4 linked regions of the Oryctolagus cuniculus genome follow. The protein of the gene in region 2 interacts with the protein of the main gene of each other region in a pairwise test. Links are inferred from orthologs where the notes say so. Each region holds a gene or a part of one and is shown on either strand. Other genes may lie near its edges.

Region 1 (7,797 bases), on a different chromosome or scaffold from region 2:
CTACTGCTTTCCCAGGCCATAGCAAAGAGCTGGATTGGAAGAGGAGCAGCCGGGACTAGAACCGGCGCCCATATGGGATGCCGGCACTTCAGGCCAGGGTGTTAACTCGCTACGCCACAGTGCCGACCCCATGGCTTAGGTTTCCGCAGTTACTTCCAAATTGCTCTCCCATTCAAAAAATCAGACAACCAAGTGCAAATGTCGAGTAAGCAGCTGGATTTGATTCCAGAGCTCAAAAGTGAGATGACCCAAAGATACAAAAAAAAAAAAAAATTTTTTTTATTTGACAGGTAGAGTTATAGACAGTGAGAGAAAGCACAGAGAAAGGTCTTCCTTCTGTTGGTTCATGCCCCAAATGGCCACTATGACCAGTGATGCACCGATCCAAAGCCAGGAGCTTCCTGCTGGTCTCCCATGAGGGTGCAGGGGCCCAAGCACTTGGGCCATCCTCCACTGCCCTCCTGGGCCACAGCAGAGAGCTGTACTGGAAGAGGAACAACTGGGACTAGAACCCAGGGTCCATATGGGATGCCGGCACTGCAGGTGGAGGATTAACCAAGTGAGCCATGCAGCCGGCCCAAGATACAAATTTTAGAAGTTAAGACATCCAGCTGGTATTTAAAGCTGCTGGATGAAATCACCTAGAGAGAAGGTATAGTCAAGCAAAAGAGAAAAGCTTAGCACCATGCTAAGGGACAACCTCTAAGACAGACTTAAGGAAGAAAATACAGTCAAAGAATGCAGATCTGGCAGATCACCCCCACATATCCTTAGATTTGCAGACTGTCCCACCCTCATCCCCACGGACCCAATAAAATACCCTCTCTTCAAAACTACTCGCCATGATATTGCACTACTCTCACCTCCCACCTGCTTGGTTGTTCCATTTCCAAAGGTTCTTAACTAGTCTTCCTCTATTTTCTAACCTTGAAATTCAATCATTTCAGTCCACTTCCTCATTCTGTGTGTTTGTGTGTGTGATACATACATTTTCTTCCTCAAAGATCTTATCCATTCCCACAAACTCAACCGTCAATTCTATACTGATAACTTCCAAATATCTACCTAAATTTTATTCAAAGTGTGTCCTATGGATCAGAATTTCAGAATCAGCAGGGCATGATGCAAAGACACAGATCTGTGGACTTCATTCCAAAGCTACAGATTTCCCTTGATTATTCTTAAGCAACAGCTTTTATAAATATCCAATTATTTATACCCATTATTATTATTATACCTTGTTGCATGTTAGTGGTATTAGGGATATGACAGTCTTCAAAGTTACTGACAGCAGTATGACTGAAAAATATCTTAGATCCAAGAAGCAAATCTGATCTAAGGAAATAAAAAACTATAATCAAGAACTCTAATGGGACTGGTAAGACCCCTCAAACCTCCATAACTATTCCTTATTTATTATTTTTGTTTCCTCTGCCTCCAATACTGATTTAAAATGTGCATCATTCAGGGTTGGCACTGTGGTGTAGTGCATTAAGCCACTGCTTGCAGCACTGGCATCCCATATAAACACCAGTTTGGGCCTTGGCTACTCCACTTCCAATCCAACTCCCAGTTAATGTACCTAGGAGAGCAGAGGAAGATGTCAAATGTGCTTGGGCCCCTGCATTCATGTGGGAGACCTAGAAGAAGCTCCTGGGTCCTGGCTTCAGTCTGGACCATTGTGGCCATTTGGTGAGTGAATCAGCATATGGAAGACCTCTCTCTGTGTAACTCTGCCTTTCAAATAAATAAAATAAACCTTTTTTAAAATATAAGAATCATTCAAATGGAAGAAAAAACCTGAACTTTTTGTTTAATAGCAAAGAAGTAGCAAACTGGGAAACTAGTAATTTACTCCACTGCCAGAATAAAATTGAAGACGGTAGCTTTAAAAAGAAAAAGAAGGTAGGATGATCTCTGGGGCCCTCCAATAGATAGATTCAAATCAAGAGTGGTCATGAGGTTTAACAGTTACACACTTACATGACCCTATCTTGAGTTAAACTTCTTAGGGCACTAGAGGTCAGTGCTCTGCACAGTGGTTACATGGCTGCTTGGGGTATGGGTATCGCATATAAACTGCCAGTTTGAGCCAGGGCTGCTCCACTTCCAATCCAGCTCCCTGCTAATGCTCTTAGCAAAGAAACGGAAGATGGTCCAAGTATTTGGGCCCCTGTCGCCCATGCCAGAAACCTAGATGGGAGTTCCTGGCTCCTGGCTTCAGCCTGGCCCTGCACTGCCTGTTGTGATCATTTAGGGAATGAATCAACCCTTAGGAGATCTCTTAGTCTCTCCCTCTGTCACTCTGTCTTTCAAATACATAAATTCTTTAAAAAAAATTCTTTGAGCCCTACTATTACCTGTGTCATTAGAATGTGGTTTCCCTGAGGCTGTATTACACCATCAGCCTACTACTTTGCAAAATCCAAAAACTTTGCCCGAAGAAATCTAATACAGGTCATGTATCCCTTATTCAAAATGCACAGAACAAGAAGTTTTTCAAATTTCAGACTTTTGGATTCTGGAACATTTGCATATATATCAAGATATATCTTGGGGACAGGACCCAAGCCAAAACATGAAATTCATTTATGTTCCATATATATATGACACACATAGCCTGAAAAGTAATTTTATACAATATGTTTAGTATACTTGTATTGGACTGTGCCCCAACACATGAGGTCAGGTGTGAAATTTTCCACCTATGTTATCATGTCAGTGCTCAAAAGAATTAGATTGTAAAGCATTTAAGATTTTAGTTTTCAGATCAGAGATATTCAAATTGAAATATCTCCTGAAATTCCTATACCATTATTTCCAATTCCCAATTCCCAATTAGTAGAGTCCAGAATAAAGAAGTTTTACTACACCATCTGGAAAGAACACACTGAAGCTTTAAATAAATATCAGTCATCTTTGGCAACACAAAACTAAAACAACTTTTCTGACTATCATACACAATTTCCTTCTAAAGATTTATTTATCTGAAAGTCCAAGTTACAGAGATAGAGAGATTAATCTCCCATCTGCTGGTTCACTCCCTAAATGGCTGCAATGGCCAGGAGCTCTGGAAACTTCATCAAGGTCTCCCATGTGGGTGTCAGGGGCCCAGGTACTTGGGCCATCTTCTGCTGCTTTCCCAGGCCATTAGCCTGGATCAGAAGTGGAGCAGCCAGGGCATGACCCAGCACTCATTTGGGATGCCAGCACCACAAGCAGGGGCCTCATGCACCTCACCACAATGCCAGCCCTGTTCCATTCCTTTTAACATGAAAAAAGCACAAGCTACCATTAAAATGAGCTGGTTCTAAACTTGCTATAAACTAAAACCAGCTCTAAATTTGTTCTATCTTTCCATTATGCCTTGTCATGTCAGATAGTCATACAAGTATCTTCCTTCAATTCCAACAATGAAGTGAGTTTGAATTACTATTTGGGATGGAGAAAGATTGCCAAACGATGGCCTAGTCGGTGGTCAAACCCTTAGTCCAACTCCCTCCCTACCTGGTTTCTATCTCCCAGCCAGTCTCTCCAGTCCCTGGGGTTGACTCATTTCTGTAGCTCATAAACAATGCTGAAGTGTTCACAGGGTTAAAGTACTTCAAGAATGCTTTTATGAACACTATAAACCAAAGGAACTTCTGAAAGAGGGGTGCACCTCACACTTTTCTATATGCAGCTGTGACATACATTTGCATATTTCCTACACAGCTCTCCACCAGATGCCCAGAGGCACTTAGAACACTCCCTTAACACAGTACCCTACTTCTTACCCTCCATAGTCCGCTTTCTCTTGGAGTCAGACTATTGCCTCACATTTGCTCACTATCTCTGCCTTCCGAGTCTTTCAAAATGCAGGAGCAAACCGTATTACTCTGACTTGAAATAGCTACGAGTCCCTTCCACAGCTGTAAAAAGCAGCAACATACGGCAGGTTTCTCCACAGAGGAATAAGCCTGGGGTTCTCAAGAGGCTACAATGAGGCACAACAATTCCTACACCCCACACCTGACTATGACTTGACAGTGGCCGCCTTCCCTTGCACTATCAGGTTCCGGCCGGCTGGGCAACATACCACTCTGCAGCGGGGTCTGCGTCCTGGATTCCTAGCATCAAGAGGGGCTAGCGCGGCGTCTACCGGAAAATGGCTCTCTCCAATCCCTCCTTAGCCCCCTACATGAAACCATAGAAGAACATCACCAGTTCTTTCTACTTCAGGATACAGACATGCATGCTTGAGCCCGTCGAGACTAATAAACGGCAAAGTCATTATATGCCGGAGGCTTGACTGGCAGGAAATGTGGGTGACGACTAACTTTTTATTCGGCAGCTTCCTTCCAGATCAATCCATAGGACTCCCCCTCCCCAGAGCCGCCATAAGAGGTGAAGCCCCACATCCTCCTGAGCGCGGTAGGGAGGGACTGGGGGGAGGACAAAAGGAACTTGTCTACAGGCACTTACACATGCCAGTCGCTGAGGGGTCTGGGGCAACTCGGGGCTGACTTCCATCCTCTCCGCACCCCCAGCCTCTTCGTCCGCCATCTTGAGGGAAACTGACTCCCGCAGTGCTCGACCCCCGGCCGGAGGCGAGTGGAAACCTGTGGCCCGTCCGAGAGGCGGAGGGCGACACTTTTGCGACGGCCCCTGAAGTCGCGTTTGACGCAGACTCGAGAGCGGCTTCCGGTCTGCTTCCCGGAAGCGGGCGTCACGACCCGAAGGGGCCGGAGATTTTCGCTTGGAAATTTATTGGTCGCAGTGGCTATTAATGCTGAGTGGTTGTACACCTGGCTTCGGTACTAGAATCTGTTGCATCTGCGAGGTGAAAGACAAATTCAGCGTCCGCTATAAGAGGAAGGCAACTGTCAAGAACTAAGGGAGAGCCTGTCCTGTCTGGCCGGTCGCGGGCGGGGGGCTGGTTGGTCTCCCGACGCAGCTGCTGTCAATCTCCGGCACCCACAGAATGAAAAACAAAAGTACTCGCGGCGTTTCCATCTTTAGGAGTCGAGCCCATGGGCACTTGCGCACGTATGAAGAAAGCTGACGCCCCAGTTTTGTTTTGGGGGCAGGGAATAACGAAGAATTTAAAATCATTCCCTTCGGTAGATGGAAGACGTGTCGGAGAGTGTTTACTGTGATTCCTAGTTCCAGACCCTTTAAACACCTGGTGCTATTCTGAGTTGTCTTTCAGGTTTTCACTCACATTCCAGGGAGGGGTGCAATCACCTGTCACCCTAGATTGTCCAGACCCTACTGCAAAAGCGATGACGCCTGGGCAAGTGGGTCAAAAAGTATCCATAGGACACCACTTTGCTTCATTTTAACACTAAGCTCTCCACCGCAGGAGGTGCTTAAGCCTCGTTACCATCTCATGCAACCTATGTTGAAGCATATTTCCGAACTGTTCTTGTGTGGACTTGTCTCCATCCTGCATGTGCAAACAAGAATACTACGTAAGAGGTATTCATTTTCCCCTAAGACAAAAGATAACCTGTTTTCCCCGGGTTGTGGAGACACAGCTTTAGGAATAATTCCCTATGGTTTCCTAATTTGCTGCACTAAATTGTTTGGTGTGACGACTCCTTCTGGTGTGTTTCTTGATTGAACTCTGGGAAGCAGGCCCACAATTTTGGGTGAGTGACAGCTTGACCTAATTTAGAGTAGGATTATGAATTTGATTCTTATGCAAAGAGATACATTTTTAATAAAATTACCTTTAGTCCAAGCAGCTTTTGTGAGTAAACAAACGACTCGTTTTGCAGGTGCCATTTTTCTGTCTGAAGCATTGTTAACAACTTAAGTACACGAGTTCTCTTTCTTGTGGCCCCCAAATAAAACTCATTTGGGGCAGCCATCCTCAGAACTGTTTTTCCCGGGTTCTCACTTAGGGATTGTGCTGCAGGTTTCAGCTCATTAGGATCGCCTGGCATCACTGTAGTGATTCTGATTTCATTTGAAAGGATTGGGGCCTGAGCATTAGTTTTTTTTTTTTTTTTTTTTTAAACACACACACACACACACACACACACAAACCTATTCCAAGTGATCTCAATGAGAAGTGAGAACCCCTGGGTAATTCCATTTCAAAGGCCCATATTCTCTGGGATATTTTGTGTGGGATTAGGGCCCACCTGTATTTGCCTTATTATTCCTTGTGTAGATATATAAATCTGTGCCACAACACATGCCCCTGAGATAAGCTTTTATAAGAAAAATAACAGGTAGAAGAGAATGTGTACTCTAATATTTTTGTATTTTATTGGAGACTATAAAGTACATATTGATATTTTATTAAATGTTTCTCCTAAATATTTTATAAAGATTTCCACACACTTCATGATGACATTTCAACCAATGATGGACCAAATATACGATCGTGGTCCAATAATATTACATAAGATTACAATGGAGGCAAAAAATTGTTATCTTCTAGTAACATTGTATCTGTCATAATGTTGTAGTGCAACACAATATCCATTTGTGGTGATGGCCGTAGAAACAAACCTAGTGCACTGCCACTCTTACAAAAGTACAGCACACAGGCCAGCTGTTGTGGTAGAGTGGGTTTAGCTGCCGCCTGGGATATACCATATCCTTAGTGGAGTGCTTGGCATCAAGTCCTCCCTCTGCCTCATGTTCAATCCATCTTTCTGAGAATTTGCCTGGGAGGTGCCAGAAGATGGATCAAGTACTTGGATCCCTGCTACCCACATAGGAAACCCGGATTAAGTTGTGGGCTCCTGGCTTCAGCCCTGGGTGTAATAGGCATTTGGGGAGTGAACCAGCAGATGGAAGTGCTCTCTCTGTTTCTCTCCTGTCTCTTTCACACTCTGAGTTTATATCACAGCATTTTCTTTCTTTCTTTCTTTCTTTCTTTCTTTCTTTCTTTCTTTCTTTATTTCTTTTTTTTTTTTTTTTTTTTTTGACAGGCAGAGTGGACAGTGAGAGAGAGAGACAGATAGAAAGGTCTTCCTTTTGCCATTGGTTCACCCTCCAATGGCTGCCGCAGCTGGCGCGCTGCGGCCGGCACACCGCGCTGATCCATTGGCAGGAGCCAGGTAGTTCTCCTGGTCTCCCATGTGGTGCAGGGCCATCCTCCATTTGAAAGAGTTACAGAGAGAGAGGTCAAGACAGAGAGAGAAGTCTTCTGTCTGCTGGTTCACTCCCCAGTAGGCTGCAATGGATGGACCTGCACCGATCCAAAGCCAAGAACCAGGAGCTTCTTCCGGGTCTCCCATGCAGGTGCAAGGGCCCAAGGACATGGGCCATCTTCCACTGCTTTCCCAGGCCATAGCAGAGAGCTGGATCGGAAGTGGAGCAGCTAGGACTCGAACCAGCACCCATATGGGATGCCAGCGCTTCAGGCCAGGGCTTTAACCCGCTGTGCCACAGCGCTGGCCCCCACTTTAACCATTTTAAGTGTATTTTTAAGTATAGCATTAAGTACATTCACATTGTACAACCATCATTACCATCCACTTTCAGAACAATTTTTCCTTTTACAAAACTGAAACTCTGTAGCCATTAAACACAAACCCCCTTCCTCTCACTCCACCCAGCCTCTGCAACCATCATTCAACTTTCTGTTTGAATTTGACTATTCTGGGTATTCCATATAAGTGGAATCATACAGTATTTTCCTTCTCTCTGAATTATTTCACTTAGCATAATGTCTCAAGGCTCTGTGATTTCTTTTGCAGTTATTTTGGGTTTCCTGTGCACAGCATTAATTACCTACATTAAATTCTCCTCAATCTTTTGTTGTACTAAGGAAGAGATGCTACTTCAGAAGCTTAT
Region 2 (7,285 bases):
CACCGATGCTTGTTTCAGTAGCTGTTTGATACCTGAAGAAAGAATGGACAAATGACCACATTAGAAAACATGTGCCTTCTGTGGCATTTGGAGAACATGTTTATGAAGAGACTCACAAAGGACCTTCTGACAACCATGGATCTGAATTAAACAAACAAAAACTACCAGTCTCCAACTTCATGGGCTATCCCACACATTCCCGTGTGACCCACAGGTCCCTGTGGCTTTCTGTGTCTCTGGCCCACAAAGCCACAAAGCCTGTGGGATCAAAGAGAGAAAACTCTTCAGCTAAGTCTTCCACTGCTTCTTCCTTGTTCTCTTTTCAGCGTTTACCACACTCCTTTCTTTCACTATTTAAGTTCCCCAGTTGGGCCCTCTTTTCAACCAGTCCTCACAGGCATCTCCCCCATGGCTCTCACGCAGCTGCTCTGTAGCTCATCTTCGCTTTAAGTTGGGTCCACCTCGTTTGTTACAAGTGATTCTGTCTCCCCCCATGCACCATACCACTTCCTAGGTTTCCAAGTCTAGTTTACACGGCCTTTGTAACACAGCAACAGGAGATTTTAAACACTGCCTTTACAAAGACGGTCAAGTCCATTCCTATTCTTGTGTTCCGTTAGTGCTAATGGTTGATGTCTCACGTCCCTGCAGGGTTTATGGCCACCTTATTCTCATACACACACGCGCACTCATTACACCCCGTACCTTCTCTGGTTTCCTGTGTTAACTGTTCTTTTGGAAAATCTACATCAAAAGTGATTATCAAAGAGCCCTTGATGTTGTTGTTGTCGAAGTTGGGAAGGCCTTCCCCTTTCTTCCACAGTTTGGCTCCTGGCCTGGTGACCTTATCCCGGGAAATATGCACCTGGAAAGCAAAAGGGAGACTTGAGGAGGACGGGTCCACTTGGGATATATCACACAGCTTCTAGCGGGCGCTTGTGCACAGACTAGTGTCACAGCTCAGCAAAGACAGAATGAAGGGACAAGTGAAACAGGACATGAGAGTCAAAGAAAGAAGGTTTTAAAAAAGACAAAGAAAAAATCAACACATGAACAAGAAGTCACACTTTCGCCAATGGAAACCGTAAGGACAAGACTACCAAAGGCTGTGCCACCAACGCAGAACAGCTGAAGGCCTGTGGCTGTCGCTGCTTGGCGGGCAGCAGTGACCTAAGGCAGGAAGGCAGAGCAAAAGCATCAAAGGGTTCCCTGTGGTTCTAAATAACTGAAATGGCCAAAAGCATCTCAAGAGCCACCCAGGGGAGGCTTTGCAAGAATAGAAAACGGGAAGGTTGGTCCATTTACCTTGTGACCATCCAAGTGAGTGATATCCATCTCAAAGCCGACCAGAGACTCGACCAGTGAGACTGTCACATTTGTGTACAAATCGTCTCCTCTCCTTTCAAATATCGGGTGCCTAAAAACACAAGGTAAAAATGATTAACTTCCATTTTTTTCTCCAGGAACACTGAACAAGTTGTTAGAAACGTCTTAGAGAAAGATAAACATTGCTCTCTCAAACAATAAGCATTTATTGGAGATGCCTTTGTGTAGTATTAAGCAAGACAATGAAGTCACATATCAGACGCTACAGTTAGGTGCTCTCAATCAGAAGCCAAAGCGTACAACTGGAAGGACTGTCATTAGAAAATGGAAAAGAGAGAGTGACAACTCCTGGCAGTGGCGGCTGGGGGATGGGCAACAGGAATGGTGGCTGTGGTGGTTTCTGAGCTGCCTCGAGAGGCAGATGAGGTGTGTGCAAGGTGAGGGAAATTCTGCAGAGCCAAGGACTTGAGAAGTTACCAGGCTTATTCCAGGAGCAGCGCATGGGCCAGTGTCTCTGGGAAGTGATGAGAAAGACAAGGTCGGGAAGGAAGGCTGGGGGAGATCACAGGGACTAAGGACAGTGGTGAGGGACAGGTCTCAGGCAGTGGAAGGCCGTTCCTCCAGATGCCAGCGGGAACCCTGTTCCAGCAGATCTTTAGATCAGAGGCTTCACTGATTTCCAAGGTGGTAACAAGAGAGGATAAACAAGAAAGCCCGAGGCCCAGGAAGCAGTACTTTGTGCTTAGGGAAAAGTCCCCCATTCTTTCACGGTGCCAGAGATCCTCAGCTAAAATTTCAGTTCTCCTTGACTTTTATTCTTGTTTGCTTCTCTTTTACAAGTCCTTACTTGTTCTATCAATTTTTTTCCTTAAGACATCTTTTGGACTTGTAAGTCCTAAGTAAATAATAAAGGGGGCTCAATCCTGGGGTCCAACCCCACATTTTCAGTACTGTTCAAGAGTTACAAAGACTAGTTCAGGGCACGGAACAGAGAAGAACACTGGATGCTCTGATGCCTGCGGAAAGCAGGGGCTAGAGAAGCCTCTGGAACTAGGTCACTTACTTGACAACCTTGATTCGGAACCGTAAGTCTCCAGGCTCCCCGTCCACATGAGGCTCGCCTAGTCAGAACAGATGACAGCATACCGTAAGTCACACAAGTCGAATACCACAAATCTATTTGGCAGCTGAGAGAATTCTTTTAAGCCACCACCTTGGCATTGATTCTGTCAAGTTTATCTGTGAAGGAAGTGTCTCTGCCTGGTTACAGCGTTTCAGATTACTAGTGAAGATAAGATCACTTTGTGCCTCAGGCATGGTAATAAATAACTTGACCTATTTCTCAAACAAAGAATGATTCATTGATGCCCTGAACCTGAAGTCTGAAAGCTTTTATCCTTTTAGAGTTTTAAATTTGAGCCCAAAGGTACAGTCTGGCAGCGAATCTTCTTTCACTGTCAAGTTAAAATTAATCCATAAAGGTCTGGACACTTTAAATTCTGGTGAAATTGAGGCCACCTGATAGTAACTTTTGGGCATGATATTTGAAGGACAAATAGTAATGACACCGCCTCAGGTGACTAACCGTGATGGTCAGAAAAGATTCTCCATGTGTGGTGAATTTTATATGCATTCACTACGAGGCCATTAGGATATGGGGTGAGACAAATATTCGTAAGTGGAGAGCAGAAAGTTATGATCATAAAACATCAGTATCAATATCCCACCTTCTCCAATAAAGGGGTACTCCATGCCATCTCTCACTCCAGGTTCTATTTCTACTTCCAGAGTTCGTTCTTCATTCACTAGTCTAAGACAAAGAGAATTTAAGAAGAAAAACAAAATGAAGATACAAATGAAAACCCAAGATACAGATAATTAAAGTGTTATCTATGTTATCAGGACTTTTTCTTGGAAGACTACAGTGTACCTCTCCTCTGCAAAGACCTCTGAAATCCACTTACACCTTCTAAATGTCCAAACTTAGGGCAGAACTACTATATAGTACACAAACACATAAGACTGCTCTGCTATGCAAGCAGGAAGAAAATGAAACCTCAGCACTTGGTAAGTCTACTCAGACATAGACAGCACTGCTTACTGTTTCAGAAACATTAAAGATACGCATATTCTGAAGAAACACTTCTGGAAAAAGTTAAAATGTCCATTCCTGCTCTATCCTTCGGTAGAACATGGTAAGGGGAGGGAGGAAGAGCTGGGGATGGACCACTGACGCCTCATTAGACAAAAGCGATTACTCGAGTGTTTCTTGGCGGAACCAAGAAGATGCTTCACTTACTTGACGTTAGGGCACTCATCGCAGACCACCTCCTGGGTCATCTGGAAGCGCCCTGGGCCCAGCTGGGTGGTCCGCATCTCTTGCCGACAGTTGCACTTCCGTTTGCCGGGAGCCTGCCTTGCCACAGGTTTGTTTCTAACTACCTAAGAAGTGCATAAACAACATCAGCTTCACTGTCTTTGGGGACCTCAGCCAACCAGGGCTCTGGCCACTGGCTGGACCTGGAGCTGCCCCTTCCCAGACAAGCCATCCCTCAGAGAGACCAAGAGCTCACAGGACTCCCTGGGGAGCACAAACAGGAATGAGGCAAACACATATTTAAATGACTCAAATTCTGAAGTTTGAGAGGTAAAGAGAGAGCGGAGTAGGGAAGAAGAGACCCAGAGTAAGGTTTATAATGTCAGCACTTGTGAGCCCGACTGCGGTAGTTACAGAATTACATCTGCTGAAATCGAGGCCTTGTAAAGCACAACCCCTGAAGAACAACCACAGCCTTCAGGGCTGGTGTGCGGCTGCCGTCTGATCCCAATGAAGACAGCTCCTTGTTCTAGGTAACCCGACCCTGGCCTGTTTTCCAGTGCTATCTCCATTCAGATACCTTAACACATAGCAAACACATAGCTGCCATCTCTTTGTAGCTGACTGCAATCAAACACTCTGATCTCTCGAGGTGTGTGAAATTAATATAGGGGCTAATGCTGTGGCATAGTGGATAAAGCTGCCGCCTGCAGGGTTGGAATCCCATATGGGCACCAGTTTGAGTCCCGGCTGCTCCATTTCCCATCCAGCTCTCTGATATGGCCTGGGAAAGCAGTAGAAGATGGCCCAAGCCCTTGGGCCCCTGCACCTGCGTGGGAGACCCAGAAGCTCCTGGCTCCTGGCTCGGATGGGCCCAACTCCAGCCATTGCAGCCATTTAGGGGGTAAACCAGCAGATGGAAGACATCTTTCTCTCTCTCTGCCTCTCTATAACTCTGCCTTTCAAATAATAATTTTTTTAAAAAAAGATATATATGTGAAGAAGTACATCCCTGTTTTTGCCTGTTTAATTAGTCAAACACCTAATCACGAGGTGCACGCATACTCACGCAGCAGCATGACACCAATGCTTGGAGCAGTCCCTTAAGGATTACCAGTGTATGAAAGCCCGGGTCAGCAGAATAAAGCCTAACAATGATAGGAATTAGAGCAAATACTTTACAGCACTTATTACATACCAAGCAATGCTCTAAAAACTTTTACATATTCACCTAATCTTCACGGCAACCTTGTGAGGTAGGTACTGTTATCTCCATTTTACAGACCAGGTGGCAGGTCCAAGGTCACATAACTAATACATGGCAGGACCACAGTTCCAAACAAAGCAGACTACTTGCAAAGTCCATGCTTCTAATCATACCCTATCTCTTAAGGTAATCGTTTCTTAAAACATTTTTAAATAGTAAGGGCATTCACATTTTTCCCATGATTATATTACAAAGGGGGGGGGGGCATTCACTGTAAAAAGTAATATACATGGGTATTTTAAAAAGTCCAGGGAAAAATGGAACTAAAAGTTAAGTTTTTTGCTGAAAAAAAATTTTTAAATTCAAGCATAGCTTTTTTCATAATATAAATTCTCCATGAACTTTTTAAGACCTTTTGTATGGATGGATGGCTTTAAAATATTTTATACCAGAATACACTTATCTTTTCATACAATTTTTCAGGAACTTTTAATTTTTTTTCTTTGAGAAGCAGACAGAGAGACAAAGAGCTAGAGAAAGGGAGGAAGATGGTGATAGAGACAGAAGAGAGAGGTCCCATCCACTGGTTCACTCCCCACAGTGGCCAGAACTGGGCCAAGCTGAAGACAGGAGCGGCCTTTCATGTGGGTGGCAGGAACTACCTGAGCCATCACTGCTGCCTCCCAGAGTCTGCATCAGGAAGAAGCTGGAATTAGGCAAAGAGCTGGGGCTCCAACTCAGGTACTGCTTTATGGGACATGAGTGTCTTAACCACTAGGCCAAACATCCACCCCTCCACAACTTTCTGAACTATTTTTGTATTTTGTGTATTAACAAAAACTGAAGAACAGCAGGTTAGGAAAGGAAGGTGGAAGTTAATTAGGCTCCACTGTTTCTCCTACCTAAACAACCTCTTCAATGTGTGGAGAAGACCTAAGAAATTGTAATGCCCCTTTCTTCTATCCTGCGGTCTGAACAACAGTATTACGAGCCAGTCACATCTTCTTTGACTAGCTAGCTCTCTTTCAAATGTTCAGAGCAACAGTCACAACTAAGAAGATGTTCCTTGTCAAGATGGCACAGAAACTAGGCTGCCAGCTCTTCCAAAATCCTAGAAAAACTACAAGGAAACACAGGTTCCAGGAAACAGTCACAGAGATGTCACGAGAACATCCCAGAGTTAGTATGTGGGTCGGGTAGTGCCTACACCCCAGTCAGGGCAGCAAGACGATACTAGCAAAAAGCAGTTGGAGTTCTGCATTGGCCTCTTCCGAACTGCTTTGGGACAAGTACTATTTGCACCACTCCACAGAAAACCCTAGACACCAAACAAAATACTGCAAGGACAGACAGACACAACACAGTCAAAACCACTGAGCAAAGACTCACCCCAACATGCTCTACAGGGAAAGATACTGTTGATGTCCATATGGGAATGAGCTCAAAGGCCAGAATAACTAAACCCTGTCCCCCAAGACAATAAACTGGGTTACACATATATTTTAAGCACATGTACTAGAGAAAACAGATCAAGAACCTAAACAAGCATGACAATGCATAAGGAGGTAAGGAAGACAAAAACAACATGAAACAGTAAGAAATAATAGAGCCAGGCCCAGAAGATAATGAATGGCATCCCTCTTCGACAAAATAAAAACCAAAATGGTATTACTCAAGCATGCATGTATGTGTGTGTGTGTATATATATACATATATAAAATACATATATATATAATAGAACAAACAAGAATAAGGACAAAATTCAGGATAGCAATTATGTCAGAAGAGAGGAAAAGGAACAGGATAAGAAAACAGCATGTAGGGCGATTAAGTCATGGATCTCGGTTTAGTTTTTGGTCTTGGTTGTGAGTTGTTAAACAATGATAACAGTGTATCATGATCCAAGGATTATGATTAACTCAATTCTGGGCATCTGATCACTCTTCTTCACCTTTTACAAGACAGAGAACATAGGGGCCAGCACTGTGGCGTAGTGGGTAAAGCTGCTGCCTACAGTGCTGGCATTTCATATGGGCAACAGTTCGAGTCCCAGCTGCTCTACTTCCAATCCAGCTCTCTGCTATGGCCTGGGAAAGCAGTGGAAGATGGCCAAAGCCCCTGGGCCCCTGCACCCGTGTGGGAGACCTGGATGAAGCTCCAGGCTTTGGATTGGCCCAGCTCTGGCTGTTGTGATTATTTGGGGAGTGAATCAGCAGACAGAAGACCTCTTTCTCTCTCTCTGCTTCTGCTTTTCAAATAAATAAATAAATCTTTAAAAATAAGTTTAAAAAAAGACAGAGAAGGTATATAGAAACTTATTAGATTCAGTAAAAAACGAGTTATGGGAGTCATAATGAACTTACTTCCACAAAATTTCCTGCATATACTTCTTCCAAAGTGACTTCTAGATCTACAATAATATCGCTTCCTCTTGG
Region 3 (7,924 bases), on a different chromosome or scaffold from region 2:
ATTCCCTTGCCCAGGAGAGAGCAGTACTTTTTGCTCAGCTATCAATCCTAACTTCACTTACCTACACTCAATGCTAACCCTACAGGTAAGGCCCAAGCAATGCTTCCCTTGCCACTGTACCTTTCCTGGTCCTCACACTTCATTCGGGATCTCCCAAACCCCTAGAGTTCCCTCCTCCTCTCACTTGGGTGTGTTTGTCTCCGTGGCAGGTGCTGGGCCCGTTGGGGCTGGGCCAGGCGGGGTGAGTTCTGGGTTCTGGACTGGGGTGCGCTCCTCCACTTCTTCTGCCTCCATGGGCTCCCGAGCTGGCGAGTCATTTTCAACCGCTTCTGCTGTCTGAGAGCTCAAGGTTCCCGGCTCCTGGGCCACAGGCGGCGTTTGTGGGGGCGGCTGACTGTGCTGTGCTTGGGGCCCTCCTCGACACTGAAGGTGGGGCGAGTCAGAATACCAAAAGCAGGATGAGACTACTGTAGACAACCACTCAGGCCAAAGGAGTCTGAATGGGGAGAATACCCTGACGAGGCGCCCTGAAGGCAGGGCTCTGGTCTGCCTCTAACAGCCAGGGCAGCACTGGGACAATCAGGCTGCACACAAGCATCTGTAGGCTTGGTGAGTGAATCACAGAGAGCAGAGGCTGCAGTTTCCTAATCTCTGCAACGAGAGAGAGAAAGGCCACAGGCTGCAACCGTAACACAAACTGACAAACTTAGAACATCAAGGAAAAAATTAAGAAGTGTGGGATCCTTCTTCAATTCAAAAGATATGCTGTGAGAGTTACCTGACAAGACTGAAACAAAGTCCCCAATACCAGCCACCAAATGATCTGGCAGGGTCAAAGCGGTCTCAAAAAGATACTTTTTCTACCCCAAAGAACAAAGATTGCAGAGAGAGGCGACCAGATTAGGAAGGCAGAGTCCTGTGGTTGTGGCCAGTTATGCCCCTGAAGAGACTCTAGCCAGACTTGCCCACTTACCTCCATCCGGGACAGTAAGGTCTGTATATCCCGGATCATGTGCTGGGCCATCACCAGCCGTACCCGGGGCTCACTCTACGATAAAAGAGGAATCATCAGGACAGGTCCGAGGTGAAGCCATGAGCTCCACTGCCTACTACACCAGGTCCCAGTCATCTCCTCAGCCAGGTCCTCCCCCACTTCATGGCCTCCTTCTCCCAGATCCCCTTCTCTGACCCTCCCAGGCCCCTCAATACCTGAATTGGGGCCTGTTCCATGTTGATGTGAACATCCACAGCAGAGCCGTCACTCTGGGGAAAGGGTAAGGGAAGTTGCTCTGGGAGAAGCCAAACACTAAAGCCTCCACACTTTCAATGTATTGCCTAGCCCCCCTCCCCCAGCCCTTTTCCTCAAAGACTGAGTCCAAATCCAACACTAAACCACAGAGCCCTCCAAGCTGAAGACTGACACATGCATCTGATGGGCCTCCTGTTGATACCACAACCAACCAAACTACCCTTCCCCACAAAAACTCTGCCATGCAAAACACAAGCTTACAGGAAGATTGAAGGTTCCAACCATGACATAGCTGTTGGCATTCCGGTCATGAACTGTGGCCCCAGGCCCCCGAGTACCAGGCAGGGGTCCCCCACCATGGGTGGCTGAGGCAGACCCTGTCCCAGAAGATGCCCCAGAAGGGAGCTGAGTCTGAGGAGGAGCCCGTTCCACCAAATGGATAACCTTTCCCCCAACATCTGCAGAAAGAAAAAGACATACATCAAAATAGTTGTATGATCAGGTAAACCCATGGCCTCAGCTCATCCCTCTGAACACTATCCTCTACCTCTGCAGTGCCTCCCCACCCCCTTACTGTATTCCTGGAGCTTCTTGTCATCTTGCAGAACTCGCCCCTGATAGATGAGCCGCTGTTTCTCAGAGGGGATGCTGACAGAGGCAGCAATATGCTCTTTAAACTCCTTCACACTCATCTGCAAGGAAGAAAGGACACACACAGGAGTCAGATAAAGGACAGAGGAGGTACAGAAGAGGGACCATGCATTAGGGAAGGTGAGAGGTAGAACTCATATAGAATCACTAGCCAATTGTCTCCTATGTGAGGTAACTATCGTGCAAAGCTTGACTCAAAACAGAAGCAGTAAACTCAAGGACACTCATGGCACAGACCAGGAGAAGATGTGGATAAGAAACAAGAAAGCCGACTGCCAGCCCCCTCTCTCCTTCTTTGCCTGGTTCCCAAGGGAAGGTGCGCTCAGTGCTACCAGTGACCCCTTCCCAAACACAAAATGATACCAGGACAACCCTGTAATCTCAAAGACAGAAACAATGGCAAGGAGAATGGGTTAGGGAATCAGGTGAGGGAAGACTAGCCAAGAAGAAAAGGTAGCAAAAAGAAAGGGAAGAAAGAGAGAAAAAAAAAGAGAAAGAGAGAAAAGAATGAAGGAAGGAAAGAAGGAAGGAAGGAGAGAAAAAAAGAAAGTCATTTTTCCTACCTAGAAAACTCACTCTTATGAAATGCTAGAATGTTTACATACATCTAACCACAAAGGCCCATATTATTTTCTTAATAACATGTGATATTTTATGAAACTATAGATCAGTCTGCTCACAATTCTGTCTCTAGCTATTTCAGGAGTAAAGGCACAGACAGCTGTGTCCACAGCATTAAACAGAGTTTCAAAGTATGCTGCAAATACAGTAATTCCACTCGCTTGTCTACAAAAGCTCTATTCATTACGAATTCTTATGCGCATACTTAAAAAACAGTATAGGCAGTGAGCACCCAGCCTAGCAATTAAGATGCTCACATCCCATATCAGAGTGGCTGGTCAATACCCAGCTCTGGCTCCTGGCTCCGGCTTCCTGCTAACACAGACCCTGGGAGGCAAAATCGATGGATCAACCAACTAGATAGTGTTCCTGGCTTCCAGCTCCTGCCCAGTCTCAGCCACTGCAGGCATTTGGGAAGCAAACCAACAGATGGAAGCTCTGTCTCTTTTTAGAAAGAAAGAGAAGGGGAAAGAGGAGACAGGAAAAAAAAGAGTATACACCCATGTGACCAATTTCTGTTTATAGAAGACACACTTGTTTGGGGGTCACTGTATCACGTCCATTCCCAAAGGCTGTCCCCTTGGGCTGGAGGCCACATAAGATGACAGCGTACAGATTCCTCCTTCCTATTCTCTGCACTGACTTCCACCAAGTTGAAAGAAGGCAGAACAAAAATCTGCCTCACTCAACAGTTAAAAAAGTGAACAAAGAAATCAATGAAAACTCAAGGACTAGAACATCAGGCTCTTCTCCGTCTAATGGGCCCCCGGGACAAAGGGCCCACAGATGTCTTCCAGAAGTATCGGGGTCTCACCTGGGCCCCCACAATAAAGGTCCGAGTCTGAGAGTCCAAGGTCTTCACCAGCACCTCCAGGCTGTCAGGCTCCTCCATAGTGGTGCTGGTACTATCACTGGGCTCCATGGCCGACACCTCTCTAAGAAAGAAGGGGGAGAGGAAGGTCCACTGTCGCCCGGAGCCGATTTTAGATCCAGGAAGCCTCCCCGGGCTGAATCCCCGCCCCAATACCTAAAAAGTTTCTCCCGCACAAGCACACACACTCACACCCGCCCCCATTCCCCTTCCGATTCCGGGGCAACGAGAGAGAAACACAAAGGGCAGATCGACGGCACAGGGAACCGAAGGACAGGAGGTAGGAGGAGCTCCACAATGCCAATCACAATGAGGGCGGGTCAGTCGGCTTAAGATACGGGAAAAGAAGCAAGCATGGGACCAGAGACCCGTGTCATCACCAGTCACGGCACTACAAGGGTCCCAGAAGTCGACAAACCCTGGGACAACCCGAGAGTGGGAGTCGCGCCAGACTCCGCGGAGAAAGTGGTTTCGCGCACGCGCGCCACGCCCATCGAACCCGCCTAAATCACTACAGACCCGGACGGCGGACACTCACGGGGGGCTGGACCGGCTAGCTGACTGCCCCCCCACTTCCGCCTTCCCTCGGTGTTCCAAGAGAGCAGCACAACCAACACACAGCCACAGCCAAACACCATACACATACACTCCCCACCACCCTTCGGCTCCGCCCCCGACTTCCCCACGGTACCGTCACTTCCGGTCTCCCCCAACCTGCCTCCGACGGTCACTTCCGTTTCCCCGATAGTATCTGGGGAATCACGAGGCGGTACTTCCGGCTCCCCCAGGTCCCCAAGCGTTACTTTTGTGGGGCACGATTAGAAAGTCCGTAGCCCCAAACAGTGAGTTGCTGGGGGCGAGACGGGCAGGGGCCGGCCTAGATGGGAGGGAGCCGAGCACCCCGAGGAGCCGCCGCCGTCGTCGCCCGGGGACCGTACTGCGCCTGCGTTAAGTCTCATTACGCATGCGTGCACATTTAAACTCCGCCCACCCACCCCCTCTGGCGGTGGTTACTTCCCCTGTGCGCGCGCTTCAGCGATTGGGGGTTGAGGTGGCCACTATAAATGCCTGAAGAAAAAAATTGCCCGATGAGACTGCCACTGCCTCAAGAGAGACTACGAACTATTCGTGTAGACCTTAGAGTTTGGAGCCTGGAGATTTTGCCCCGTTAACCTATGTTAAAATCCTGGTAAGCGGAGAATTTTAGGCGGCATTGTCCTAGGCACCTAAGCCTCCTAGCGTCTCGCGGTCGTCCTCACGGCACCTTTGCTCCGGCGCCTCCGGAAGTCACCTTTGCCGTAGGCTGTTGGGGGCGGCTCGCGAGATGTTTCTCCGTGCGGTTGCGTCGTTGGGCCGGAGCTCGCTTGTGCCGGTTGGGGCGTTTTGCGGACTGAACGTAGTGTTTGTTCGTCATGGGCAGTGAGCGGCCAGGGAGTCACGCCATGTTGTAGGAAGGCTAAGCCTGCCGCTGTCTTTCAGGACTTTTGTCAAGAGAAGTGTTTTCCGAGTTTGAGAATTGTCGCGATGGAACCCGACTGGACCGAAAGAGGAGACCTTGACCTTGGAGAATTGAAAGGCCACCGAGGGGCTTCCGCAGGGGTGCGGTGGGGGGACTACCGCTTCTCTGCGCCCCCTTTCCCCCACGTCTTTCTGCGATTTGTAGTTTATACCCAGATCCCAGGACTGGTTCAGTTTAAATAAGCACCTGCTCAGTGTGCCAGCCAGTATAATAAGCGTTTTACATATTTTAAAGTTTTGACCTTGGAAATGGGTACTAACATCTGTTTTATAGGTGAGTACGCCTAGACAAACCTAGGTGGTGGAAGTGACAAACACGGGCCCAGTTCGACGTTACTGCTCCAATAAATTGTTACATCTTAGCTTTTTCTTGAGAAATCTCAAAGCATTACCCCCAAAATAGACTAGTAAAATGAACTTTCATATACCCTTCGCTCGGATTTAGCTTTGATTTTTTTTAAACCGTGATCTGTTTACACAGTAAATCACAAGTCCATAGCAAGCCTCAAGTCCCAGAGTAAATCTTTGTCGTAGTCCGCGGGTAGTAAGTAATTTGGCAATGGAGCCCTGGTCATTCAGCAGCAGTTCCTCCCTCAGCACAACCCAGTGACCACAGCGTCACCATTCTTCCCTTAGTGCCTATGGTTTCAGAGATTACCCACCAGAAACTAGTAAGTAGTCTGCAGATACTACTGTTATACTGAATATTTAACTTGGGACTTAACCATTTTCTGGTCTTTGCTAAAGACTTCATATGCATTATTTCAATCCTGTGAGATTGATGATTAAATAAAATTATCCCAAATAGAAGAGAGGTCTAAGAATTGGGTTTAGAATTCACTCTGCCAGCCACAAAAGGTCTATCCTCTTTAATCACTAAATTGTGTAGCCCCCTTGTAATAAACATTGAGTGAATGAACTTGTGTGTCCTGAAACTTTTCCTTCCAAGGTGTATACATCCTGTGTCCACAGTTAAAACTTTAGGGAGAAATCCACCATGCCCGCGGAACTGGTCCATACCTGTTGGCACTTATCAGGTTGCACTGCAGTGATCTGTTTACACAGCTAGTTCTTCCTATACTGACTTCAAGGCCAGGGACTGTGTCTCATTTTTGTATCCCCACAGATTAGCTAGTTCCTGGCAAACAGCTGGGGCTCAGAAAACAGCTAAGTGAATGAATGAAAATCCCAGTCAAGCCTCTTTTCCATGCTGCACAACACAGCCAATATCCAGCTCAGGCATGGGTTAAAAAACTGTGGGCTTCTATGTGTGGGACTGGGCTCTTCCCATAACTCGTGAGACACCCTGGACATACCAGGTTGTATCGTGGACTGGTTGTATGAAGAAGAGGGGGAGGAAGGCCCAAACACTAGGTAATCCAGGCTTGGGCTGGAAAACAAGGTTGAAGTTACTCATTAGCAGGTGAAGGGGTCAAGGGTCGAGGCAAGGGGGCTGAAAGCAGAGTGGCCTGAGCCACCAGCAGTGGAGAGAGCAGTTAAGGCACTGGTCGCAAAGCCGCAGCTCCCTCCTGCCTCAAGATGTTCCAATGGATTTGGGCAGCCGTGCTCTACCTCTATGGCATTCTGAACTCCCTCTATCAGTGCCCGGAGCACAGTCAGCTGACAACTCTGGGAGTGGATGGGAAGGAGGTATGGACTGAGGATGGGGGATACCTTCTGGTGGTGGTTTAGAGGGGCTTCAGTGGGTGACCTAGAGTCACCAGAAGCCAGATTGGGAAAGGGACGAGGGTTGGAATGATGAAAGCAAGGAGAAAAGTACCAGTCCAGTGGCCATCAGCGTGGAGACTCGGCCGAGTTAGGGGTGGCGAACCAGGTTGACTTGGGGGGTGGGGGCGAGGAGGAAGTCATTTAGTGGTTTTTTTTTTTTTTGTCAGGAATTCAACCCCCAGTTGCGCAGAGGGAGGCAGCCAGTCCCTCCACCTGAAGTCTTGCTCTGCTAACCGCTGGCTCCAGCGCTGGACTCATTAACTTTTGCTTCCCTCATTGTCTCTCCAGTTTCCAGAGCCGCACCTGGGCCAGTGGTACTTTATTGCAGGGGCAGCTCCCACCAAGGAGGAGTTGGCAACTTTTGACCTTGTGGACAACATTGTCTTCAACATGGCTGCAGGCTCTGCGCCTATGCAGCTCCAGCTTCGTGCTACCATCCGCACGTGAGTGGTGCAGACAGAGGCACCACTGAGTGCACTCTGCCTGAAACGCGAGCGCCCAGCAAGGCCTGGGCTTTGGGGCTAGTGTAGCCAGTATTCTTGGCCACTGAATCCTCTAGTTCTGGCAGTGCCTTCTGGAGAGAGATGGGTCTAACCACGCCTTGTTAGCATGAAACCCAAAGGGAGCTAGATTTCCAGGAGGAATAAGATGGAACAAGTAGAGGCTGGTACCGTATGGCTGAGGTGACACTCGGTCTAAGGTCCTGTCTGCCACTGCCCACTTCTGCAGAAAAAATGGACTCTGTGTGCCCCGGAAGTGGATCTACCATTTGACTGAAGGGAGCACAAACCTCAGGACTGAAGGTTGGTTCTCTCCAGTCCTCCCCCTCCCCCAGCCCCCTAGACTCAGTTTCAAGTCTCCCTCCTCACACTTGCCTCCACCCACTCTTGACAGGCCGCCCCGACATGAAGACGGAGCTCTTCTCCAGCTCGTGCCCAGGGGGAATCATGCTCAAAGAGACGGGCCAGGGCTACCAGCGCTTTCTGTTCTACAGTGAGTGGGGTGCAAGGCAGGAAGGGCCAGAGGGCAATGAGGACTTGCAGAACATCTCACCCGGGGCCCTGTGACATCCTCCCAGGAAGGGCTGGGTGCTGCCATGAGGTCCTTGCCAGGGGCGGTGCTGAAAGGCGGGGGCTTTGACTGGTCTGGCCCCACCCCGCCCTTGCAGATCGTTCGCCACACCCTCCCGAGAAGTGCGTGGAGGAATTCCAGTCCCTGACCTCCTGCCTGGACTCCAAAGCCTTCTTACTGACTCCCAGGAATCAAGGTGAGGGGTTAAAGACACA
Region 4 (8,056 bases), on a different chromosome or scaffold from region 2:
CGATACCAGTAGAACAAGACAAAATGAAATAAGAAGTCTTTTACTTCAAACTCCTCCCCGACATAGGATTGTACCCAAATATGATTCCTTTCACATTCTCTCAAGAAAATACATAGAAATGGGAGTCAAGGGGGAAAAATAAGAAAAGGAATCGGGAAAGATAAGAGTATGTTAAGATGTGTGTAGTAAGAGATAATTGTGAGGAGATGGAGTTATCAGGCAATGCTGGTGTGGTAAGTAAAAGGAGGAAAGACAAAACCCACTCATTTAATGAAAAAGATGTGACATATAAAGCATTGTCTTCCAGAGATAGGTAGAGGTTTCATACATTTTAATATTTTGAGATGTTTTCAATACATGTCTAATAAAGAATTTCACAAGGTCACAAGTTAGCACCACTTAACAAACACAGTGCTTCAAATTGTAAAACCGTGAGTGCTTAGAGAAAAGAAGCTGTGTTATATTTCTTAAATATGATATACTGTGTAGCATAGTTATAGGCACTGGACATGCTCTAATAAATAGTATTACATTGATTGGCCACAGCAGCAAGAAAAATTGTTTGGGGCCTAGGACTGGAGACAATGTGACAGAGAGGAGTGATCACAGCTATGGCTCTCTGTTGAAGTCGGGAAGCTGAGCACAGTAAGTCATTACTTATTGCAGTGAGGAAAGTGCAAGCTGACCTTTGCCAGAGTCTGAATCAAAAAGGAAAAATCCAGTGGAGTCAGTAGAGGGTGCTTTAGTGCTGAAAAGATTTGAGTGCACCAGACCAGAGCAATATCAAAACGTGGGCTAGCTAGATCCAACCTTCCATGAATTCCAAGACGTGGGCAGACACTCCTGTCCCACACATACAGTAAGGGTTATATGCCATCACAAATACGAGGACAGAATTGGGCAAGACATCATGGATCTGTAAGACGGGAATTAACGGCAACTAGGTTAACAAAAGGGAGAAATGAAGGCCAGGTGGGAGAAGCAGGTAAGTGTAAAAGTAGGAACCAAAGGCTAGGAATACAGCAAGCTGTTTGTGTTTTTACATGAAATCTAAGAATTCTGCTTTTAGGAAATACTATGACTATATATGTGTGTGTGTGTGTGTGTGTGTGTGTGTGTGTGTGTGTGTGTGTATATATTTGGTCCATTTGAAATGTCACTATGAAGAAATGACTCAGAAAATAAAACCCAGTAGAAGAAATGAGATTTTATTTTTCAAAATATCTCAAGGATGGACTTGTCACTGTGTTCCTGGCCTGCCCTGAGGCAACTGGGGTTTAGATGAATGTGACCCTTGTAGGTTAAACTGTAGTACTGCCATCATTCTAATAGCCTCTGATAATATCTCATCACAGCCACACTTTCAAGCTGCAAAACCCTTAACTTCTTATTTAATAAATGCTAGAAGAGAGAAGGGAGAAAAAAAAAGGCCTGTTACATGTTTACAATCTGGAAAGATTGTAATGACACCATGTGCCACATACAAGGCTGGCTTGGGGCAGATGGAAAAACTGCCTAGCAGTGGAAACTTGAATTAGCCATAAATATCAAGAATGGAGAACAGCTTTCCAAAGTAAGGCCAAGGCTCAAATTCTACTCAAGCTAACTGACTCTGGGTGGACCAAAAGCAGACCCACCCAGCTCATATAAGTCTATCTTCGAACATTATCTCACTCCCCTCCTGCTGCAAGGGCGCAGCCCTGTGCCAGGAGACAAAAGCTCTTCCTGCCTCATGGTTACAGGGAAGATCAACCCAGCATCACCAGCAAAGCCATAGGGAGGCATCTGGCGGACTCTCCCTTGGCCTGAAGCTCCAGGGCACATCAGACCTGAACCTGGACTGTGTGCACCCAGTGTTGGACATCTTTGACCCCTGGGATCAAGAGATCACTGTGAGTTCTCTGAATTTTGACATTACCTTCAGCAAAGAGGTTAAGGACCATGTCCCTTATTATTCTGCCATATTAACAAGCTTGAGACCTGCAAATTAGATTCTGGATTCTGACTTCTGGTCCTCAGTCTACTTATCACTTGATTATTAACGTATTAGAGGATTATTAATGTATTACATGGTTATTAACTTATTACATGATTATTAACTTATTACATGATTCTGAAGAAGCCCGTTGCCTGGGAAGTTTTTGAGTAGCCATAAAACCACCACACTGCAACTAGGAAAATAATCGGAATTCAAGTGAGATTGTCATTTAAATGGAAAAAGAATATGTTCAAAGAGAAATAAAACATTCACACTTATTTTATTCCTAAAATTGATTTTGCTAATACAAGTGATTGTGAAACTTTAAGAATCTATTTCTCTTATATTATCTTAAACGATGACTTTTTGTGAAAATTCAGGTCATTGGCTTTACTGGAACAATGGTAATAAAAATCCCCATTTAAAAAATGCAGGTCTTGCTACAGTTTGCTTTTTGTAAAGACCACATAAGGCACATGGAAACTTGCGGTAAATTAATGTTCCTTGTACCAAACTCCATGGAAAGAAATCTAGGGTAAAAGAAAAATAGTATATGATATGCTATACTGCATATAGTTAAATATGGTTTATTATGTTCATTCCCTGTAATACAAAGTCAACAGTTAAAAAGCCCCGTGTTAGCTGCAGCTTGCTCTCTGTCGCAGCTCTGGCTTTGAGAAGGCGATGCATTTGTGTCCACAAGCAAACCACTGGGGCACAGCTCTGCAAGCAGCTGTACAACTTCATCCCAGAGAGGTTTTTCACGAAACTGAGAGGAAAAGTGTCCTGGGCTTCAAGTAGTGGGAGGGGAATGATCGCCTGTCCAAATTCAAAGTATACAGCCAGAGACCATAAAGCATGGAAGTTTCTTAAAGCACAGAAAATGGTGTTGGATGTTTTTCAAAGCAAATATAATACCTAAAAAAACTTTTAATTTAAGTAATAAAGTACAAATATTGCCACTCTAAAATAACGCATGTCCCAAAGGGAGAGAAAGGTAATATCCACTCTCTTTTCCTTTGAATTCAGCTGGTCTTTAACCGCTTTTTATGACTTAGTCTTTAAAGTGCATAATCAACTTAGAAAGGAACAGACCAAAGATGGGAGACACAAGCTTGGTTTTCAGTGTGGATCACCTTCCCTTTTGTTTCACTCCCACTACCTCTTAATAGTCCTGCAAATCAATTCATCCCCAGATGATTAAGGGGCTAACATGCACTCTGCTGTTTCATCAATTCCACATTTGAATGAGATCATGAAGTGGCTCCATTATGTTATTAGTTACAAAGCTCTTCTGGGTGGTTCCTGACTCTCCTCCCAGGCCCTTCCCTCCAACACACACACACACACACACACACAGAACCTCTTTCTCAAGCTACTGCTAACACATGCCATGACAGCTCAACTACTAAAAGAGCAAAACTACTAGAATTTGGCACTTCCCTCACATTGCTCATTTCCTCCTCTCGTGCGCCCCCAACTCCACACCTATTGTCTCAGTGTATCCCCCAATTTCACAAAGCAGCTATTAGACAGGGCTAAGGTAACAACAGAGTGTATATAAACTCTGTGTGTATTCTTGAGTGGATGTAGGTGTTGTGTTGTTAGGTACAAGGGTGTGTGTGTGCGTGTGTGTTAAGAGGAGAGGGAGTTTTATGTTCTGTACATTAAGTAAGGAAAGAATTTGGTACATTCCTCTCAAAAAATATTTTGTTAAGTTATTAGAACAGTCAATTCAGAAATTGATGGTCTAACAAAGTATACCTGGGGTAACAAACATACCCTAGCTTTCTGTGGGTAAAGGGAAAAGGGCAAGCAGGACAGTGCAGGACAGGGATCAAAGTCGGCAACCAAATGAGCAATGGGGAACCATGGTGCATCTTGGAAAGTTTGGACTTGACCATTTCTCGAAGTGTTCCTGGCTGTCAGGCAGGATTGACAGTGCCAGCTGCTCAGTGTCACCAGGCAGGGGGACAAACAAGCCCCCACACGTCACCCAGAAATGCCAGCTAAGGGTCATCCGCTGGCAAGCCCCCGGGGTACTCCGAGAAGCAGAAAAAGAATGGGAAAATGAGACCTGCTCACAAGGGCTGCCTTCCTGCCTCCTCTCTACTGAGTCACACACACACACACACCTCCCAAAGCCTCAGGTTTGACAAAGAGCAACCATGCACCCTGCAGCCCACCCTGGCAAGCTCTGTAGCAGTCAGCTGGAGCAGCCTCCAAACGCAGGCTTCCCACGACAAAGGCTTCCCTCCTTCTGCTCAGAAAAGCACACTCTCCTTAAACCTGACCTGACAGCCCTCCCAAAAACATGCCTCAGTCTGCAGTAAGTCAGTTTTGAGAGCAGTCCTATCAGCAACCACACCAGGCAGCCCCTCTCCCACTCCCAGCACCTTCATCCGCTGGCAACCAGAAAAGTGGCACAGGGTGCAAGCACACTTAAGCCCCCTGGGGGAAATCACACATTCCCTCCGCTTACTTTGAGCTGCAAATGTCCTCCCTGGCGCTCAGGCTGCCTTTGTTGGAAGGGGCGAGGTTTGCCGCTGCTGGAGTCCAGGTACCCTGCGCGCTGCTGCTCCTGCCTGGGCGGCCGCTGCTCTGCTCTTCTGTACAGACGACTCACTGGTCTCTTTCTTCCTCTCTCTCCACTTTGGATTTTCCTGTGCTCTGGGGCTCCCTTGGCGGGATTTTTGGACTGGAAGGCGGGGAACCTGATCTGCTTTTGACTCAATTACGCCCTGACAGGGAGGGAACGGAAGGGAAATGGAGAATGGGAGGGATGGGAGAGGATGCAGGCTGGGCGAGGGAGGGAGAGTGCTTTTCACCCGAGAGCTGATTGGGAAGCTTATTAAAAGCAGGCTACTCCAGGGGCAGTCTCTCCCCGTGGAGCAAGAAAACGGATTTGAACCAAGAAGCCAGGAGATGTAAGACTGTATTGTTTTTAGCAGAGAGACGGAACACAGTCTAGCTTTTGCAAACCCCATGCATGCTCGGTGCTTTCCGGGGGCGCATTCCCCAGTTTACCAAGTTAACCTATCACACACAGTGACATTTTAGGTTGCAGTTTTGGCCCCTGTCATTTTTTAAAAATAATATTCAGGATGAAAAAAACAGCTTCTTGTTCTTCCCCACCCCCAAACGCCCTCCCTACACAGAAGAACCCCAGCCAAATTCAGCTGTCAGTCCCAGCCCACCTGAGCCTCCCAAAGTGTGCAGAGTACTTTTCTCCATTGTCACAGAGTGACAGATGTCTTCAGGTTCCTAATTAAGTGCTGCTTTCCTTTAGGTTTTTTTTTTTTTTTTTTTTTTTTTTGCTTCTGTGGTGCTTTTATGAGCCTTTGTAATGATAAGCCTTTGACATCGACAAAGAATTTAGGGGATTGATCAATGGAGCTCAAATGCTAGGTTTTATAGAACTCAGAGGCTGGGCTCCTTGACTTTCAGGAATTCCATCTCATTCAATGGAAGAAAGATGCTGAGATAGTAGAATTGGGACTGCTGAAGTCATATGTAGATGAATATTTATGGCATAGATGAGATTAAAAGTGTTGTATGAAATGATTCAGACTTACAAAGCAGATTTCCACTAACATTTACAGAAGTGAATTGTGAAGTGTTCTGTCTCTTGTCACTTCTTTCCAGCTCCTTCCAATGCTCCTTTTATGTCCTTGCTATCACCATTTGGCCACAGCCCACATGCCGGCTGCACCCCCCCATTTGGTTGTGGTTTGTTTGTCCATTTCTGTGGTTCTGAGCTCACGTCCTTCTATTCAATTTGACAAATATTTGTTAAGTACCTTATTTAACTCTTTTCCATTCACTTAAAACCACCCCTGACATCCCAAAGTAGAAGCACTGTTTTGTGGCAGGTAGCTTTTCAGGGATCTGAGGCTCTTCCATCGATTGCAACAAGCAGAAGTGTCCCACGGAGGAAGGAGTCAACTGGGGGCCAAGAAGCAGCTCGGCAAGTAGAGCTTTTAATCAATCAATCATTTTTTTTTTATTTTTTTTTCCACAAGGAGGTGCATCAGAAATTCCATTAGGCACTTTCTATCTATCCCCTTAAGGAAACTCTCCAGACACAGGGCGTACACCAACCTCCAATGAAACACAGATTGCAGCTTCCCTGTTCTCACAGGAGCCCATTCTCCCCGTGAAGCATCTGCTGGTAACTACCGACTGGAGGGATGCGCATGACCTTGACTAGGGTTATTTTTCCCAGACCCGTTACTGAAAGTGATGTCTCAGGGTTTCCCACCACTCTGCAAGGGCCGAGTTTCCTTCCTAACCTGTATCTTCACATCTACAGGTGAACATGTTGCCACCAGTCAGGTGGACAACGCAGGGCTGATCGTGGTGCCCATTGCTAAAGGTCATAAAGGAAGCATGAGATTCTCATTATTTCACTCAATTATATGCATTATATCAAAATAGGATTTTATTAAAGTAGGTATGTGTGAAAATGACTTACATCAATGGTTGTCAGACAGGAGTAGGTGCCCTCCAAGACGTTACCTGACAACATCTTTTCTTATCACAGTCTGAGAAAAGGGGTAACCCTGACACCTAGTAGCTGGAGGCCAAGGATGCTGGCCAAGTTACAGGATAGCCCCTTTACAATAAAGCATTATTATTTTTTAAAATTTATTTGTTTGTTTGAAAGGCAGAGTTACAGATAAAGAGAGGGAGAAAAGTATTTCATCCACTGGTTCACTCCCCAGATGACCCTAACAGCTAGACAATAAAGCATTATTTTACCCAAAATATTAATATTTTGAAAATACAATAGAAGATTAAATGGAGTTCTTTTTCTCTTTTCTTCCCCAGAAATATTTTATTTAAGGTAAACTTCATGCATTTCATAAATACAGCTTTAGGAACATAGTGATTCTTCCCACCCTACTCGCCATCCCACCCACACTCCCACCCTTCTCCCTCCTCCCTCTCCTATTCCCATTCTTATTTTTATTCAGATCTATTTTCAATTAAATTTATACACATAAGATTAACTCTACTATTAGGTAAACAGTTAAACAAATAGTATGAGAAAAAAAAAAAAAAACTGTTCCTTGCAGCCAGCACAGTGGCACAGTGGGTTAACACCCTGGCCTGGAGCGCCAGCATCCCATATGAGCACCAGTTCAAGACCCCGCTGCCCCACTTCTGATCCAGCTCTCTGCTATGGCCTGGGAAAGCAGTAGAAAATGGCCCAAGTCCTTGGGTCCCTGCATGCATGTGGGAGAACTGGAGGAAGCTCCTGGCTCTTGGCTTCGGATAGGCACAGCTCCGGCCGTTGTGGCCATCTGGGGAGTGAACCAGTGGATGGAAGACCTCTCTCTGCCTCTCCTCTCTCTGTGTAACTCTGACTTTCAAATAAATAAATAAAATCTTTAAAAAAAATCTGTTCCTAACAGTAGAGACAAGGGTTGTTCAAAGCCATTGCATCTCAATGTGTCAATGTCACTTCTATAGATTATCTATAGGTTTTGTTTTTTCAATAAATCAGAACCAATGATATTGAGATTAGTCATAATTTAATTCAACCTAGCATTCACAACATAGCTTAAGTATAATGAAGGAGATGTACAATTTGGGAAATGCTCAATAGGACTTGCCCCAAAAGGTGGAGTTAGAATCATGCCAGGGGATCCCAATACAATCCCATCAAAGGTGGCATGTACCAATGCCATCTCACTAGTCCAAGTGATCAATTTCAGTTCACAATTGATCACATTGATAGGTCTAAGAGTCAAAGGGATCACACAAACAAGACTAGTGTCTGCTAATACTAGCTGATAGAATCAAAAAGGGAGAGAACAATCCAACATGGGAAGCGGGATACACAGCAGACTCATAGAATGGCAGATGTCCCAAATAGCACTCTGGCCTCATAATCAGCCCTTAAGGCATTCGGATATGGCTGAAGAGCCCATGAAAGTATTTTAGGCCTGGAAAGCCAAGACACCCTGGAAAAAAAACAAAAGACCTAAATGGAAGATCTCTGCGAGTGAGATCCCAGTGGAAAGAACGGGTCATCAAAGAAGGAGGTACCTTTCTCTGAAGGGAGGAAAGAAC

The links.
Region 1: the proteins of DNAJB11 (region 2) and UBR1 interact in a two-hybrid assay, tested with the Homo sapiens proteins (2 studies listed by BioGRID and IntAct). The link is inferred for Oryctolagus cuniculus from reciprocal best matches to the Homo sapiens genes DNAJB11 and UBR1.
Region 3: the proteins of DNAJB11 (region 2) and BAG6 interact in a two-hybrid assay, tested with the Homo sapiens proteins (2 studies listed by BioGRID and IntAct). The link is inferred for Oryctolagus cuniculus from reciprocal best matches to the Homo sapiens genes DNAJB11 and BAG6.
Region 4: the proteins of DNAJB11 (region 2) and PTN interact in a two-hybrid assay, tested with the Homo sapiens proteins (2 studies listed by BioGRID and IntAct). The link is inferred for Oryctolagus cuniculus from reciprocal best matches to the Homo sapiens genes DNAJB11 and PTN.

Annotation. Positions count from the first base shown.
Region 1 is NC_091443.1:66,087,381-66,095,177, forward strand, and holds the start of UBR1 (E3 ubiquitin-protein ligase UBR1), read right to left. Parts: upstream 4,692-7,797; 5' UTR 4,546-4,691; coding exon 4,465-4,545; intron 1-4,464. UniProt on the Homo sapiens protein: E3 ubiquitin-protein ligase which is a component of the N-end rule pathway. Recognizes and binds proteins bearing specific N-terminal residues that are destabilizing according to the N-end rule, leading to their ubiquitination and subsequent degradation.
Region 2 is NC_091435.1:96,298,890-96,306,174, reverse strand, and holds part of DNAJB11 (dnaJ homolog subfamily B member 11), read right to left. Parts: coding exon 7,214-7,285; intron 3,769-7,213; coding exon 3,626-3,768; intron 3,137-3,625; coding exon 3,054-3,136; intron 2,448-3,053; coding exon 2,390-2,447; intron 1,418-2,389; coding exon 1,306-1,417; intron 866-1,305; coding exon 706-865; intron 33-705; coding exon 1-32. UniProt on the Homo sapiens protein: As a co-chaperone for HSPA5 it is required for proper folding, trafficking or degradation of proteins.
Region 3 is NC_091436.1:138,960,030-138,967,953, reverse strand, and holds the start of BAG6 (large proline-rich protein BAG6), read right to left. Parts: upstream 4,247-7,924; 5' UTR 4,107-4,246; exon of another isoform or gene 3,931-4,106; intron 3,457-3,930; exon of another isoform or gene 3,453-3,456; 5' UTR 3,444-3,452; coding exon 3,336-3,443; intron 1,942-3,335; coding exon 1,824-1,941; intron 1,708-1,823; coding exon 1,511-1,707; intron 1,264-1,510; coding exon 1,210-1,263; intron 1,049-1,209; coding exon 974-1,048; intron 424-973; coding exon 185-423; intron 1-184. Other genes in the region: APOM (apolipoprotein M), read left to right, coding at 6,450-6,560, 6,927-7,081, 7,368-7,441, 7,533-7,631, 7,807-7,905. UniProt on the Homo sapiens protein: ATP-independent molecular chaperone preventing the aggregation of misfolded and hydrophobic patches-containing proteins.
Region 4 is NC_091434.1:173,075,313-173,083,368, forward strand, and holds the start of PTN (pleiotrophin), read right to left. Parts: upstream 4,809-8,056; 5' UTR 4,461-4,808; intron 1-4,460.